Linked DNA regions of Schizosaccharomyces pombe. Each later gene encodes a partner of the first gene's protein in a complex. Each region holds a gene or a part of one and is shown in the gene's direction. Other genes may lie near its edges.

Region 1 (5,931 bases):
AGTAATTGTCACAATGATTACTTTTCCGAATCAAACCCTCGCCAAATATTCTATCCCTTAAAACACCTGTACGTAGCTAAGAGGATTGAGTAAATAGGTATTTATAAAAAATTGTTGAAGGAATAGTGAGAAAGGAAGGCATGATTGGAAAGGTTGCGATCATTTTCTATTACGCATATCATAATCAGAATACCAAATTGAAAAAAAGAACGCCAATTCTACAATATCGAAGTCCTCCCATTAGTTCGTTAATGAGCATACAATGTTTACTTCGTTAAAGATTGTCGGGATGAATTGAGCTTAATCAGAGCCGAGCATCGTTGTACAGTTTACTAAATGTAGAGCTAAGCGATAATACGCTAACTTACGGTATCGGTTTTTGTAAGAATACACCGAATTTCGTTAAGTACAAAGTATTAGTAGTAGTATGAAACAAAAATAACAGTCACAGCCAAACCCAAACAATTTCAGTTACTGTGTTATATACTAGTTCATCGTAACCACAGCAAATCTCTTTCTGCAAAAGGATCAGGATGGGTATTACGAGAGATTCCCGCCACAAGCGCTCTGCTACCGGTGCTAAGCGTGCTCAATACCGTAAGAAGAGAAAATTCGAGTTGGGTCGTCAACCTTCCAACACTCGTATTGGACCTAAGCGTATCCATGAGGTTCGTGTTCGTGGTGGAAACAAGAAGTTCCGTGCTCTTCGTCTTGACTCTGGTAACTTCTCTTGGGGCTCTGAAGGTGTTTCCAAGAAGACTCGTATCATTCAAGTCGCCTACCACCCTTCTAACAACGAGTTGGTTCGTACCAACACTTTGACCAAGTCGGCCATCGTCCAAATTGATGCCGCTCCTTTCCGTGTTTGGTATGAAACTCACTACGGTATTTTGATGGGAAGCAAGGGTAAGAAGGCCACTGCTACACCTACTCCCAAATCCAAGCATGTTCAACGTAAGCATAGCGCTCGTCTTGGCGATTCTAAGGTTGATTCCGCTTTGGAAACTCAGTTTGCTGCTGGCCGTTTGTATGCTGTAGTTTCCTCTCGCCCTGGTCAATCTGGTCGTTGCGACGGCTACATCCTTGAAGGTGAAGAGTTACATTTCTACCTTCGTCGTATGGCTCCTAAGAAATAAGGTTGTTTCTTCAATAAATTAGTTCATAAAGGAAGGAATAAAAGGATTCCGAGATTGTTGTATTTCACCTGTATTGTTGATTATTATCAGTAACCAAGGTCGTTAATTATGTAGAGAAGGTAATTTTTATTATTGGCATTTAGAAAAGTGTCTGCTAAATGTTTAGTAATCTCTCCATTTGTCCCAATCAGTAATTGAAATTCGTTTATGTGCTATTAGATATGATTTCTTTACTAAATCTCATTGAACTACGTTTAGTGAAGCCTTTACCTTTTTAATAAAAATTCACGCTAAGTAGCCTTTTACACATAATGAAAGAGTTGCGAATTGCTTTGAAAGGAAAATGGCCTTTCACGTACCTTAGCTATATTGAATGATTAAAACAAGTAAAAGATATAAAAAAACTGGTTCTTTTTTTGATGCTTAAAGACTTTTTTACTGAACACAAAGTCGAATTGCCACTACGGTACGATATCCTTGTTACGGTAGCCTCAACATTTATTCCTCTTCCTCACCGCCAACATATCCTGTTGCGTGTGCCATTTCAACAACAATGTCTTATGAGGATTGTAAGTTACTAATAAAGTCATTTTTAACACCATAATAGATCAATACAATGAGACATTGACTCAGGAGGATTGTTGGACCGTGATCTCGTCGTTTTTTGAGGAAACGTCGTTAGCTCGGCAACAATTGTTCTCTTTCGATGAGTTTGTTCAAAATACTATGCAAGAAATTGTTGATGATGATTCCACTTTAACTCTAGATCAATATGCACAACACACGGGTGCTCAAGGAGATGTTACACGTCGATACGAAATAAATTTTGGACAGATTTATCTTTCAAGGCCTACAATGACTGAAGCTGATGGTAGTACAACTACTATGTTTCCTCAAGAGGCGAGGCTTCGTAACTTGACTTACTCGTCTCCTTTATACGTTGACATGCGTAAAAAAGTTATGGTTGCTGCCGATTCTAATGTTCCCATCGGCGAAGAGGAGTGGCTTGTTGAAGAAGAGGATGAAGAACCCTCAAAAGTTTTTATTGGAAAGATACCAATCATGCTCCGTTCTACTTTTTGCATTTTAAATGGTGTTAGTGATTCTGAATTGTACGATTTGAATGAGTGCCCTTATGATCAGGGAGGATACTTTATTATCAATGGCTCTGAAAAGGTAATCATTGCTCAAGAGAGATCTGCTGCCAATATTGTACAAGTATTTAAAAAAGCCGCTCCGAGCCCCATCGCTTACGTTGCTGAAATTCGCTCTGCTTTGGAACGAGGTAGTAGGCTTATTTCTTCTATGCAGATTAAGTTAATGGCACGTAATACTGAGAATTCTGGTCAGACAATTAGAGCAACACTTCCATATATCAGGAGTGACATTCCTATCGTCATCGTGTTCCGTGCTCTTGGAGTTGTACCTGATCGTGATATTTTGGAACATATATGCTACGACCCAAATGATTTCCAAATGCTTGAAATGATGAAGCCCTGTATCGAAGAAGCATTTGTGATTCAAGATAAAGATATAGCTTTGGATTACATTGGTAAAAGAGGCAGTACTACTGGTGTTACGCGTGAAAAACGTCTTCGATATGCCCATGACATTTTACAGAAAGAGCTGCTTCCGCATATTACTACAATGGAAGGTTTTGAGACTAGAAAGGCGTTTTTCTTAGGTTACATGATCCATCGTATGCTTTTGTGTGCGTTAGAGCGTCGTGAACCAGATGATCGAGATCATTTCGGGAAAAAGCGTCTTGACCTTGCAGGTCCATTACTTGCATCTCTGTTCCGTATGCTCTTTCGTAAAATGACTCGCGATGTGTATAAGTATATGCAGAAATGCGTTGAAACAAATCGTGAATTCAACCTTACCCTGGCTGTGAAGTCAAACATTATTACCAATGGTTTACGTTATTCATTGGCTACTGGTAATTGGGGAGACCAAAAACGCAGTATGGTTAATCGGGTTGGTGTATCACAAGTTCTTAACCGATATACATTCGCTTCAACTTTATCACATTTAAGACGTACAAATACTCCTATCGGTAGAGACGGAAAATTGGCTAAACCCCGTCAGTTGCACAACACACACTGGGGTATGGTTTGCCCTGCTGAAACACCAGAAGGACAAGCTTGCGGCTTAGTCAAAAATTTGTCTCTAATGAGCTATGTTTCCGTAGGTTCACCCAGTGCTCCAATTATCGAGTTTTTAGAAGAATGGGGTTTAGAAACACTGGAAGATTACAACCCTTCAGCGTCTCCTAATGCAACAAAGGTCTTCGTGAATGGTGTGTGGTTAGGAGTACATCGTGATCCAGCTCATTTAACAGAGACGCTACGCAGCCTTCGTCGTAGATTGGACATATCTGCAGAGGTTAGTATCGTTCGCGATATCCGTGAAAAAGAGCTTCGTCTCTTTACAGATGCAGGTCGTATTTGTAGACCATTATTTATTGTGGATAACAATCCTAATAGTGAAAGAAGAGGAGAGTTATGTATTCGTAAAGAGCATATCCAACAACTAATAGAGGATAAAGACAGATATGACATTGACCCCGAACAACGCTTTGGATGGACCGCTTTAGTATCTAGTGGTCTCATTGAGTATCTAGATGCAGAAGAAGAGGAGACGGTTATGATAGCAATGAGTCCGGAAGATCTTGAAGCATCACGTCAAATGCAAGCTGGGTATGAAGTTAAGGAAGAACTGGATCCTGCACAAAGAGTTAAGCCAGCTCCTAATCCTCATGTGCATGCTTGGACCCATTGTGAAATACATCCTGCGATGATTCTTGGCATCCTTGCTAGTATTATCCCTTTTCCTGATCATAATCAATCACCTCGTAATACTTATCAATCTGCAATGGGTAAACAGGCTATGGGAGTTTATCTTACAAACTACCAAGTACGAATGGATACCATGGCAAATATCCTATACTATCCACAGAAGCCGTTGGCGACTACTCGATCGATGGAGTACCTAAAGTTCCGTGAACTTCCTGCTGGCCAGAATGCTATTGTCGCCATTCTATGTTATAGTGGCTATAACCAAGAAGACTCCATTATTATGAATCAAGCTAGTATTGATCGAGGATTATTCCGCAGTATTTTCTACAGAACGTACACGGACCAAGAAAAGAAAATTGGCATGACTGTTATGGAGGAGTTTGAACGGCCGGTCCGGTCTACAACCCTAAGGATGAAACACGGTACGTACGACAAGCTTGAGGATGATGGTTTAATTGCTCCTGGCACTCGAGTGTCAGGCGAAGATATTATTATTGGTAAAACAGCTCCAATTCCCCTAGATCATGAAGAATTAGGTCAACGTACTCAGTTACATGCAAAGCGTGACGTTTCCACTCCTTTGAGAAGCACTGAAAGCGGTATTGTTGACCAAGTAATGGTCACCACTAACCAAGAAGGCTTAAAATTTGTTAAAGTTAGAATGCGAAGTACTCGTATACCCCAAATTGGTGACAAATTCGCGTCAAGGCATGGTCAAAAAGGTACCATTGGAATGACATATCGTCATGAAGATATGCCATTTTCTGCACAAGGAATTGTTCCTGATATCATCATTAATCCACACGCCATTCCGTCTCGTATGACAGTTGCTCATTTAGTCGAATGTCAACTTAGCAAGGTTTCTGCTTTATCTGGTTTTGAAGGTGATGCCACACCTTTTACAGACGTTACGGTTGAAGCGGTTTCTAAGCTGTTACGTTCACATGGCTTTCAGTCGAGAGGATTTGAAGTTATGTACCATGGTCATACTGGTAGGAAGCTTGTTGCCCAAGTTTTTCTTGGTCCCACATACTATCAGCGTCTAAAGCATTTGGTGGACGATAAAATTCACGCTCGTGCTAGAGGACCTGTGCAAATTTTGACTCGTCAACCCGTTGAAGGCAGATCTAGAGATGGTGGCCTTCGTTTTGGAGAAATGGAACGTGATTGCCAAATTTCTCATGGTTGTAGTAGTGTATTACGAGAACGTTTGTTTGATTGTTCTGATGCGTACCGAGTTATAGTATGCGATATTTGTGGTTTGATAGCGATCGCCAGTTACAAAAAAGACTCATATGAATGCCGATCATGTCAAAATCGTACTCGGTTTAGTCAAGTTTATTTACCGTATGCTGCCAAGCTTTTATTCCAAGAATTGATGTCGATGAATATTGCACCGCGGTTATTTACTAAAAACCATAAGTAGTTTTGCTTATTTGAATAAATTAATACATAAACATAGCATGAACATACAGAAGGATGATCGGTGTGATCTTAAAGAAGCTATCATTTATTTACATAAGCTACTTAAATTGTGTTCTAACAGATATATATATTATTTATATAATAATAATGTAGTTGTTACCTAATTTCGGCTTCAATTTAAAGTTCAATTTCCTTAATAATTGTAACAAAATTGTTTATAAAAACACTGGCTTCTCTTTTGGAAAATATAGACGATTGGCAGAAAAGACCAATTTCGAGGTAACCATCTCGAATTGCCAACTCAAAATCTAACTTGGGTTTGTTTCCAAACAAAATTTCACAACCATCAATGGTGGTTTCAACTTCGTTAATCTTTAGTTCCGCATTGTTGAGTTTCAACGGGTATACGCTGAAAACTTTACTTGGTTCATTGTTATCACCAGTTGACAAGAAATTTACTGCGATATCCATCATGCCATGAACAGGGAGATCCAGCAAAGATATGTATTGTAGGTTTCCCGAAATCTCATTCAAAAAAGACTGAATTTCGAGAGCTATTTCACCTAAAGGTC
Region 2 (6,283 bases), on another chromosome or scaffold:
ATTGTTTTAAACTTTTCAAACATCAACTTAAACACTCTGTTTTTTTTTGTACAATTTCTCTTAATAAGATAAAGTTAGATAACATCTTCTGTTCAGTTAAACTTTGAATCGTTTACAAGTACATGCTCATCGTTAACAGAAACCCGAAGAGTTTGGTAAGAGGATATTGTAAAAAAGATATTGTACTTCGTAATTTAGATGGTTGGCTATTTGATATGATCACAATTTCAACCATTTTTAAACTCTACAATCAAATTTGTTCACTTTCCTCCACTGACCGAAAAAAAACCTCAATATCTAATAAACTGCAGCAGGAATTTTGCATTATGGATATAAACAAAGTTGGCAGAAATTTTATTTCTTTAGGAAAAATACGATCAAGTAAGAGGAGAAACGCTATTTTGTCATACCAAACGATCATTAGTTCATTCCCTCATAATCATGTACAAAAACTTTTTCAAAGAACTCAATCAACAAATATGATTTATACCAAGTTAGAATATTTCGGTCATTCTTTGTTCTTTTATTTTACGGCATTTACGCTCTCGTTCAAGGATAGAAAAATCTTAATGCAAGCCGATGTATTTTTTAGACTAAAGCTCGTATTCAAGATAGCATTCTTTTTCACTCAAACAACTTTTTTAAATAAAAAAGAAAATAGGGAATTGTAGGTTTATGGATCATCAAACAAAGGAATACAGTAAACGGACTGCAGCAAAACTAAAGGTTTTTTAGAAAAAAAAAAGATGCATATTTTGTTCACTGAAAAAAAGTAATTTTAAAAGCGTTTTTGCTTAATTAGAAGGAGGTGAATAATCTTGTTTGTGCGCTTCCTTAATGTTTTCCGGGGATGACTCGTGATGAAGTTCTTTAAGCGCTTTTTGAATATCGGAAGAAATTGTTTCCAGCTGTTTTGACCGCATGTCGTACGAATAGATTACTTTGTTGTTTGAGATAATGGAAAATGTTGGAGTTTGATCGTTCGGTAAACGGTGATTAACGTTAAACTTCAAGCCGTAATTGTTGTAATACAATGAAGGAAGACATTCTTTTACAAATTTTCTAGAATTTAAAACGTTAGCAATGAACAACGCATGAAACGGAATCGTAGATCAGTGCTTCCTCACACAAAGTATTATCAAGCAGTTATTTGAGAGAATTAAACATGAATTGAGCATAAAATGTTTGAGGTACCAGTACATAGACAACATCGATGATTCTAACACGAATAAACAAAACTTACTTAGCACCCATATGTCCCAAACGGCTGTCTAAAGAATATTGAATAGATACTTCCTGAATATGTTTTGGTAAAGGAATCCCTAAAGCTCCAGCACGAATCTTGTGCAAAGATTTTTGTAATTTACCGCCTATGCTAGACATGGCGAAAATGTAAAGTTGTAGTAATAATCAGCCAAACAAAAATGAAAGAGTTTGAAACAATATGTTTTTATTCAAATATTCTGTCGGGATGAACAGAGAATATAAATATTAATGAATTAAGCCTAATGCCGTAGATTCGTACTCTCTTGTCAATTGTTGCTTGCTCTCTTTAAAAGCGAGTTCCTTGATCTCGCATTTAACGTAGTTTAGTGTGTCCTTATGCTAAATAAGGGATCACCTAACAGTGCGGAATGGGAGAAATGAGTATGAAATTCTGCAACAAGCATAGACCAAACGACACATTCTCATTATGGATTCAGAAACGCATATTACGATACGAAATATAAGTAAAAACTCGGTGGATTTTGTCCTTACAAATACAAGTTTGGCGTAAGTGAAAAGCTCTAGGAAATTCCTTCTAATAGTTGAAAGAGTTGCAAACTCGCTGCGACGTGTTGTACTTGCAGAGATTCCAACAGTGGGTAAGATTTAGGTTCATTCTTGAATTAAATACTAATGATGTTTTAGCCATTGACCTAGTTGAAATTAATGTGAATACCTCAGTCATGCCTGATGAGTTTCTAGCACATCGTCTTGGTATGATACCTCTGGATAGCTCCAACATCGATGAACCGCCTCCAGTAGGTTTGGAATATACGCGCAATTGCGATTGCGATCAGTATTGTCCCAAGTGTTCAGTCGAGTTGTTCCTAAATGCCAAATGTACTGGTGAGGGTACGATGGAAATTTATGCTAGAGATCTTGTTGTTTCTTCTAACTCTTCTCTTGGACACCCTATTCTCGCCGATCCAAAATCACGCGGACCGCTTATTTGCAAACTCAGAAAAGAGCAGGAAATTTCTCTGCGTTGCATTGCCAAGAAGGGTATAGCTAAAGAACATGCTAAGTGGTCACCTACTTCAGCTGTTGCATTTGAATACGATCCATGGAACAAGTTACAGCATACTGATTACTGGTTTGAGAATGATGCAGATGCAGAGTGGCCAAAAAGCAAAAATGCCGATTGGGAAGAACCACCGCGGGAAGGCGAACCATTCAACTTCCAAGAGGAACCGCGTCGGTTTTATATGGATGTCGAAAGTGTCGGTTCTATACCACCCAATGAAATAATGGTTCAAGGTTTACGAATTCTTCAGGAAAAGCTTGCAGTTTTAGTTCGTGATCTCGACGAAGAGCAGCCTACTCAACTTTCTGCTAACGAACTGAATATGGAGGAGAATGCAGAAATGAACTGGTCTCCCTATCAAAATGGTGAAGAAAACACGTGGTAGACTATGCTTCAATTCTTTTCTAAAAATTATCCATTTTCATCCTTTATATGTTTGTTGTTATAAAAAATACTCTAGATGCGTTTTTTTAATCATCTAAAAGTTTTTAATTTATGGCCTGCGTCCGTTCATGTCATACCTTACACATTTTTATCTAATCCTTTTTTTTTTGGCTTTTGGCTACAACATATTGTACGTATTGATATGCATATATAGAGATATATATTCCTCCCTCATATCATAATTTTGTTCTTCTTCACTTGGATTTATTATAGCTTTAGATAATTTCGTGAAAGAGAACACTTTCGGAATTGTCGTTTTGATATCTTTTTAATTTTCGGTGATTGCCTCTTGAACTCTTTGTTGGAAAGTTTATATCGGCTCACCATGCTCACAATGAATAGACAAAGTTGCTACAAGTGGACAACGAGATTACAGAATACAATTTTTTATAACGATGTTTTATTCGTTTACCAAAAATAAAGACAACAAAAAAGTTTTTAAAAACCTCAACACTTTAAAATAACATGTACAACGAGAACCGAAAGCGTCTCCTTTACTTTTATGCTGAAGAGTTTTCTTCTTCAGCGTATAATTTTTCGGTTTCCTCAATTGCAGTAACATTTGAACGTAGTTTGTTTAAAGTTTCCACGTACTCATCTTGTTCATCTGAATCAAACACAATACCACCACCGGCTTGCAAATAAACAGTTCCGTCTTTATAAACCATTGTACGGATTGCTATACAAGTATCCATGTTGTCATCTTCATAGCCCCAACGACCTACGGCTCCCGCGTATATACCACGCTTTTCTTTCTCTAATCCATAAACGAGCTGAATTGCACGGACTTTGGGAGACCCACTGACCGTTCCAGCCGGAAATATACTACGGAATGCATCAAAACGAGTTTTATCAGGTCTCAGAACACCAGAAACTTGAGAAACAAGATGCTGAACATGAGAAAACTTTTCAATAGTCATCAACTTGTCAACACTTGTTGTGTCGAGATCACAGACACGACTGACATCGTTTCTTGCCAAGTCCACCAGCATTACATGTTCAGCTCTATCCTTGACACTAGCAAGTAAATCCTTGGCATATGCCTCATCCTCTTCTTTAGTTTTTCCTCTTGGAACAGTTCCGGCAATGGGATGATTGATAATACGCCCATGCTCTGATTTAACCAGTAATTCAGGGGAAGCACCGATTATGTCGAAATCATCACAGTGGATGTAGAACATATAAGGGGACGGGTTAACTGTTCTTAAATGGCGGTACAAATTAAAAGGATGTAAATCTGTACGCCTAGCAATCCGTTGGCTTGGGACAGCTTGGAAAATATCGCCATTAAAGATATGTTCCTTGAGGTTGGAAACAAATGCTTTATACCCGTCTTCGCCTACATTTGACTTAGCTTCGTATCCTAAATGGACCTTCTTTTGCTCAGGCAAAGGAATTTCAGGACTTTCAAGTTTCTTTTTAAGCATATTGATTTTGAAAACGGCAGCTTCGTAAGCCTCTTCAATGGGTCGGCCTTGCTGAATGCAAACATGAGAAATTATCTTGACAGTCTGATAAGCATGATCGAAAGCGACTAAATCGTCGGTCATGAAAAACATAGCCTCCGGAAGACCCAAGGTATCTTCTAAAGGCATTTCAGTAGTGGGTTCAAAATATTTGATGCAATCATAAGAAACATAGCCCACAGCACCTCCACTGAAAGATGGCAGACCCTCAACAGGGGCTGTTTTAACTTCTTTCAACTCACGTTCTAAACGTGCCAAAGGATCTGTTTTTCCATTGGCCATTAATATTCTATAAGGGCTGCCAATAAAACTGTATCTTGAGACACTCTCTCCTTGAGTGACACTTTCTAAAATAAACGAATACTTCTTTCCTTGATTAAGCTTCAAGTAGGCTACTGAAGGAGTCAGCATATCGGCAGGGATTACTCCATAAATGGGAATCTTGTTAGCCTTGTGCTTTTCAGCAAGCTCTTGAACTTGTTTCAAGTCAGGATAAATCTAAAATAGTATTAGTATCATGTATTAATTTTAAGCTTCATAGCCCTAGAAACGGCGACTTTTACAGTTAAAAGCAATACAACAAAGGAAAGACCCAATCCTAAACTCGTCAATATATCCCAATACTACTATTTATTTTCCATAGGTTGGGTCTCCTTGTTAGAACAAAAAAAATCAAATTACCTTCATCTTATTGACAAGTCTATACTCGAATAAGTGCAAATTCAATAGCAAACCAAAAAAATCCCTTAAACTTGAACCGATCTATTTCCAGAAAGACAAGCAATTCCAAATTTTTCTGTAAGCGAAGAAAGAAAACAAAAGAACCAATTAATTCAACAACGTAAAGCTGCTGGAAGAAGACAACTTGTGAAAGTTGGAAAATTCATCTAAATTAGATGAAAAATATAACGGATGCGTTGGAAAACGTTATATGGTTAAATGTAAATAAAAGACTGGAAATAGGAATTAGGAAGTTATATTTAACTGCGGACAAACCGATAAAAGTATTTTGTTTTAGGATAAGATTTATTTTTTTCCTAAGCTCTTAGGCAAATTCTTAAAATGGCCAAAGTTTCGTCGAACATAAACTGCAATCTAGTTAAGATCTTGATTTCTTTTTTTTTTATTTTATTTATCTAGTCTCCTTGGTTTGATTTAAAAATGTTAAAAATAAAAGGCATTCGTTTAGATGAAAAGGGTGTGTATGTTAGCTAGAAAGTTGCAGACCTGAATAGAGGAGAAGACACTGTGTAAAAGTCCTCTACAAAATCTATGAAATTTCGTGAATCATGCGCTTATAATATTCAGAAATTGAAAAGAGGAACAACGATTATAACGAAAGAGAACTAAGAGGATTTAGGCGTTGGAATTGGTATAAGAGAATACATGACTCGCTATTAGGGCAATTCAGAATAATGTTATATTTATGCTAACAAATTTATAAATTTAATAGAGTCGACTACCCTTAGGATTTGAAGTGCGTCTTATACCGAAACGATCGAAGTGAATTAAAGTGATTGCTTGTTTAAGTGCAATTGAACAGTCAAGGCTAGTCATCTATAAATCTGAACAGTTCAACTTAATAAGCAAAAAGTAATGTTATTCGATCAAGGATTTTTCGTCTTGTGAATGATCTTGCAAGTTAATAAAAACGGAGATGAAACTCTCGAACGTATAAAAACAATCAATCGCTGGTTAAATTCAATCTTTTAGCAAAAAAGGATTTTAATTGTATAATGTATTCAATCGGGAAAAGCAAAAGAGGGTCTTTCACGCGGCACTATTTTTTTGCCTGAAAATAAATAAGTAAATAGAACAGTATCCTAAAAACAGTTTATTCAAATCCTTTTTAAACGAGTATAGGAATCTTGTTTGTTATATATTGGATCTCTGTCAGTTCAAATTCATGTTATTAAGTAGAATAAATACCTCTTTCACTTCACTCAATAAACGCAGATGCAAAAAGAAAATAGGAAAAATAGTATAGGATAAAGGTAAGATCGCACTGTTATTAAACAGTTATTTTACTTCTACAGTGTTGATTCCTCATGATTTCAAGTTAAGATATTGTCGTACAAAATCC
Region 3 (3,253 bases), 3.9 Mb from region 1:
TCCTCCTTAAGCAGGTTGAATTTTAAGATTCGATACCTGTACAATTAAGTATTTTTAATAAAAAAAAGTAGAGTCGAATTAAGGATAAAAATTTAAAATACGGGAGCTGTTTATGGTGGTGATTTTGTTTACATCGGTACGACTATGACAATGTTAAAATAATCAAAACATAGTACGTTTCTTCAATATTGAATACCTTTAGCTAAATTCACTACGATAGCAATCGCAATGAAATGGGTTTAATTGCATACAACGTTCTAAAAAGTTAATGAAATATAATCTCGCTGTTCGAATACGCATATTATTAGTAATGTAACAGAATTGCAAGCTTAAACAGAGGAATCATTGAATGAAACTAAGTCACAACGCTTTAATACAACTAGATAACGAAACTAGCTTTAAAGAGGAAACAGAAGTACTAACCCAAGAATTTTATATACAAATCCATGTTTGGAACCAGGATATTTAATAGCACAAAATGAATTTGCTAGTATCATTTACCCAGGCCAGAAGCAGTCTTGGTTGCTTGTTCTATACCACGTGCGATTGTGCTTCGAATTTTTCCATCTTCCAATGCCAACAAACCACTAATTGTACATCCGGCAGGAGTTGAAACATCATTACGAATCATAGCAGGATGTTGACCTTGTAAAACCATACGACCTGTACCAACCATAGTTTGGGCAGCCAATTCCTGAGCCTGAGGGAACGGAATACCCATCATTACACCACCATCTGTCATAGCCTCAATCATAGTAGCAACAAAAGCAGGTCCACTTCCACATACAGCGGTAGCAGCATCAATAAGCTTTTCGGGAAGTTTCATTGAACGTCCAATGCCATTGAATACCCATTCAGCAAACTTTATGTCTTCTTCAGTTGCGTTGGGTCCCGGGCAAATTACGCTCATACTTTCACGGATTCGACTAGCAGTATTGGGCATAATGCGAATCACCCTAGTACTTTCATCAAGCATACTTTGCAATGAAGAGATGGTCTTGCCAGCCAAAATTGACAAAATTAATTTTCCTTTGAGCGCTTCTTTCATCTTTGGGGAATTCAAAACATCCTCTGCGGCCTGAGGCTTACAACTCAACAACAAAACGTTACTAATCGCAGCCATCTCGGCATTCTCTTTGGCCCCCATTACAACTTTAACACGATCTCCGAAAAGCTTTTGAACATCCTCTTTTTCTTTAGGAAATTTGACACAAGCATAGAACTTATTCGGAATGATAATTTCGTCAGAAACATCGTTTCCATTTTCAGCAATGGAATCAAAGATTCCAGTCAAAAGTGCTTTTCCCATTGTACCACAACCAAGAACACAAAACCCCGACATTTTTTAAAGTTATGCTTAAAAATGTTTAACTATTTTTGTAGTCTTCTTTTAAAGCGAAAATAAATTCGACTAAAGCATATGCTAAGGGATCGTTAATTCCAAAATCAAACTCATACTGTAAATTACCGTTTTACTCGCTGATGTGCATAATGTAAGATACTGAAGTATGATGTTACAAGTTTGTAGGACTAGTCCATGTTTGAATAATGCTACACGTTAAAGTCAATATATCTTCTATATAATTAGTAATATTAAGTATATCGCAAATAAATTTTAAAGCAGCTACACAGTTTTTAACGAAATCTTGTAGAGACGTTGTAGATAAACAAAAGCTTTTTCGAACTTATAGATGTGAACCATCAGGACGCTGTTGTCCACTGTATTTTCCATATCCACTAACCACCACGTTCTTTTGAAAGTTTATTGCGTTGAAGTAAAATACTTTTGTTTGCTTTTTTAAAATGTCAAATTTTCAATATTGTATAGAATGCAATAATATGCTGTACGGATTAGTTTCTCAAAAAGATGACACTGAAAATTGTTTGAAAACACTAACATGAAATAAATAGGTACCCTAGAGAGGATAAAGTGGATCGTGTTCTGAGGCTAGCTTGTCGTAATTGTGATTACTCAGAGGTAAGCTTGTTTTTTTCTCCTACTGGGTTTATTCACTTCAAGAAAAAAATTCGAAGTTCTTTTCGATTACTTTTTTCCTCATCATTTGGAAGTTTTAAATATCTCATCAGCTAATTTGTATAGATCGCTGCTACTAGTAAAGTTTATCGCCATGAGTTACAAAGCTCCAATGTGTAAGTTAGATTTCATCCTTCGAATAATCACTAAATTTGTAGAGAAAACACGACGGTCAGTCACGACGCTTCAACGGACCCTACTTTACCTAGATCAGACAAAGAATGCCCGCGTTGTCATCAACATGAAGCAGTTTTTTATCAGACTCATTCTCGTCGGGGTGATACTATGATGGTGTGTTTCGCATTGTTTCATTGAGAAAACAATTTTAATATTTAGGTTTAAAAACAATTTTACTGACTTAATTAGACTCTGATTTATGTTTGCGTACATTGTGGATTTGCTTTTGAAGAACAGTAATATGCGACAATTCGGTCTAACAAGGGATTGTAAAACTAGCTGCGTCCACCAATGGCTCTTAGACTTCGGTTTAAATGATCCGCTTGATGTAACCACTCTCTCGCTTCTGTGCTGGAAAACTGGATTTTCGAGTGATACCAGCCACCTTTGCCGAAAATGGATTTACCAGCCTCTCAATCATATGCTCGCCTCCTTCCTTTATATTAAGCAACGCGCCTACCAAAACACTTGAATTTCTTTATTTCACATTCGGTGTACCTTCTGGAATATACTGAAACTGTTTCAGTTATTTGTATACAATAATCCATACGGAATAGCCTTGTAATCCGAATACCAATTAAATAAAAACCCTTAATTCTTTGTGCCTTTATTTTTTTTTATATTCTAATTTCAGCAGAGCTGTTAAATTCCAAGGCTTTCCATAATGTTGATGACTGCTTCTCAACAGGATCAGCATGCTAAAATGTATTTAGCTGACATCCATAGAGCATTGAGAATTCCTTCTCCCATCCCAAGTACTGATTACGAATGTTCTGACTATGCCTCTACAATCGCATCGATATCTCGAGAAAGTACAATGAGAAATTTTAATCGCAGTAACATCTCGTCTACGGCCCCTTCTTTTGCTGAATCTGAGGATGCTGAAGATGGCGATAGTTTCCCTTATGATCAAACGTTATCAAATTCTTCCAGTTTTGATGATCATCAGTCTCTTCTTCCTTTTTCTACAGAAGTTCGTAGGACCCCAACTTACTCTGTCATGAATGAAACGGATAGTAGTAGTACAAGTGTTGAAGACGT

What was found.
Region 2: the proteins of rpb2 (region 1) and rpb3 are in contact, whole or in part, in a crystal structure (PDB 3H0G), measured with the Schizosaccharomyces pombe proteins. Residues at the interface, in NP_593101.2 of Schizosaccharomyces pombe: Gln775 (codon at 4,050), Tyr786 (codon at 4,083), Tyr787 (codon at 4,086), Ala833 (codon at 4,224), Asp836 (codon at 4,233), Arg837 (codon at 4,236), Gly838 (codon at 4,239), Arg841 (codon at 4,248), Ile843 (codon at 4,254), Arg893 (codon at 4,404), Ile937 (codon at 4,536), Arg958 (codon at 4,599), Ser959 (codon at 4,602), Thr960 (codon at 4,605), Arg984 (codon at 4,677), His985 (codon at 4,680), Glu986 (codon at 4,683), Asp987 (codon at 4,686), Phe990 (codon at 4,695), Ala992 (codon at 4,701), Gln993 (codon at 4,704), Gly994 (codon at 4,707), Arg1049 (codon at 4,872), Gly1052 (codon at 4,881), Phe1053 (codon at 4,884), Gln1054 (codon at 4,887), Ser1055 (codon at 4,890), Arg1056 (codon at 4,893), Phe1058 (codon at 4,899), Glu1059 (codon at 4,902); in NP_588324.1 of Schizosaccharomyces pombe: Leu26 (codon at 1,769), Asn30 (codon at 1,823), Arg33 (codon at 1,832), Arg34 (codon at 1,835), Leu37 (codon at 1,844), Ala38 (codon at 1,847), Val56 (codon at 1,947), Pro58 (codon at 1,953), Asp59 (codon at 1,956), Glu60 (codon at 1,959), Phe61 (codon at 1,962), His64 (codon at 1,971), Arg65 (codon at 1,974), Met68 (codon at 1,983), Lys166 (codon at 2,277), His168 (codon at 2,283), Ala169 (codon at 2,286), Ala176 (codon at 2,307), Val177 (codon at 2,310), Ala178 (codon at 2,313), Phe179 (codon at 2,316), Glu180 (codon at 2,319), Tyr181 (codon at 2,322), Asp182 (codon at 2,325), Trp184 (codon at 2,331), Asn185 (codon at 2,334), His189 (codon at 2,346), Thr190 (codon at 2,349), Asp191 (codon at 2,352), Tyr192 (codon at 2,355).
Region 3: the proteins of rpb2 (region 1) and rpb9 are in contact, whole or in part, in a crystal structure (PDB 3H0G), measured with the Schizosaccharomyces pombe proteins. Residues at the interface, in NP_593101.2 of Schizosaccharomyces pombe: Lys212 (codon at 2,361), Tyr221 (codon at 2,388), Pro279 (codon at 2,562), Asp280 (codon at 2,565), Arg281 (codon at 2,568), Leu284 (codon at 2,577), Phe294 (codon at 2,607), Gln295 (codon at 2,610), Lys301 (codon at 2,628), Ile304 (codon at 2,637), Phe308 (codon at 2,649), Gln311 (codon at 2,658), Leu376 (codon at 2,853), Glu377 (codon at 2,856), Arg378 (codon at 2,859), Arg379 (codon at 2,862), Glu380 (codon at 2,865), Arg603 (codon at 3,534), Ile605 (codon at 3,540), Arg606 (codon at 3,543), Glu683 (codon at 3,774), Val685 (codon at 3,780), Met686 (codon at 3,783), His723 (codon at 3,894), His725 (codon at 3,900); in NP_594705.1 of Schizosaccharomyces pombe: Asn3 (codon at 1,810), Phe4 (codon at 1,813), Tyr6 (codon at 1,819), Asn11 (codon at 1,834), Asn12 (codon at 1,837), Met13 (codon at 1,840), Tyr15 (codon at 1,913), Arg30 (codon at 1,958), Asn31 (codon at 1,961), Tyr44 (codon at 2,123), Glu47 (codon at 2,132), Gln49 (codon at 2,138), Asn52 (codon at 2,147), Asp61 (codon at 2,216), Thr64 (codon at 2,225), Asp65 (codon at 2,228), Pro66 (codon at 2,231), Thr67 (codon at 2,234), Leu68 (codon at 2,237), Pro69 (codon at 2,240), Arg70 (codon at 2,243), Ser71 (codon at 2,246), Asp72 (codon at 2,249), Glu82 (codon at 2,279), Phe85 (codon at 2,288), His89 (codon at 2,300), Ser90 (codon at 2,303), Arg91 (codon at 2,306), Arg92 (codon at 2,309).

The regions. Positions count from the first base shown.
Region 1 is NC_003424.3:848,987-854,917, forward strand, and holds rpb2 (DNA-directed RNA polymerase II complex subunit Rpb2), read left to right. Parts: upstream 1-1,649; 5' UTR 1,650-1,689; coding exon 1,690-1,705; exon of another isoform or gene 1,706-1,743; coding exon 1,744-5,360; 3' UTR 5,361-5,399; downstream 5,400-5,931. Other genes in the region: rps802 (40S ribosomal protein eS8), read left to right, coding at 534-1,136; ferrichrome synthetase Sib1, read right to left, coding at 5,537-5,931. UniProt on the Schizosaccharomyces pombe protein: DNA-dependent RNA polymerase catalyzes the transcription of DNA into RNA using the four ribonucleoside triphosphates as substrates. Second largest component of RNA polymerase II which synthesizes mRNA precursors and many functional non-coding RNAs.
Region 2 is NC_003421.2:1,782,390-1,788,672, reverse strand, and holds rpb3 (DNA-directed RNA polymerase II complex subunit Rpb3), read left to right. Parts: upstream 1-1,674; 5' UTR 1,675-1,693; coding exon 1,694-1,773; exon of another isoform or gene 1,774-1,815; coding exon 1,816-1,865; exon of another isoform or gene 1,866-1,911; coding exon 1,912-2,675; 3' UTR 2,676-3,234; coding exon of another isoform or gene 3,235-4,698; 3' UTR 4,699-4,881; coding exon of another isoform or gene 4,882-4,887; 3' UTR 4,888-5,776; downstream 5,777-6,283. Other genes in the region: SPOM_SPCC1442.11C (uncharacterized protein), read left to right, coding at 123-671; mrp49 (mitochondrial 54S ribosomal protein mL61), read right to left, coding at 795-1,062, 1,244-1,383; trp3 (anthranilate synthase component I), read right to left, coding at 3,235-4,698, 4,882-4,887. UniProt on the Schizosaccharomyces pombe protein: DNA-dependent RNA polymerase catalyzes the transcription of DNA into RNA using the four ribonucleoside triphosphates as substrates. Component of RNA polymerase II which synthesizes mRNA precursors and many functional non-coding RNAs.
Region 3 is NC_003424.3:4,750,883-4,754,135, reverse strand, and holds rpb9 (DNA-directed RNA polymerase II complex TFIIS subunit Rpb9), read left to right. Parts: upstream 1-1,730; 5' UTR 1,731-1,803; coding exon 1,804-1,844; exon of another isoform or gene 1,845-1,911; coding exon 1,912-1,978; exon of another isoform or gene 1,979-2,101; coding exon 2,102-2,151; exon of another isoform or gene 2,152-2,193; coding exon 2,194-2,326; exon of another isoform or gene 2,327-2,401; coding exon 2,402-2,452; 3' UTR 2,453-2,746; downstream 2,747-3,253. Other genes in the region: pro3 (delta-1-pyrroline-5-carboxylate reductase), read right to left, coding at 494-1,342; mid2 (septin ring organizing protein), read left to right, coding at 2,877-3,253. UniProt on the Schizosaccharomyces pombe protein: DNA-dependent RNA polymerase catalyzes the transcription of DNA into RNA using the four ribonucleoside triphosphates as substrates. Component of RNA polymerase II which synthesizes mRNA precursors and many functional non-coding RNAs.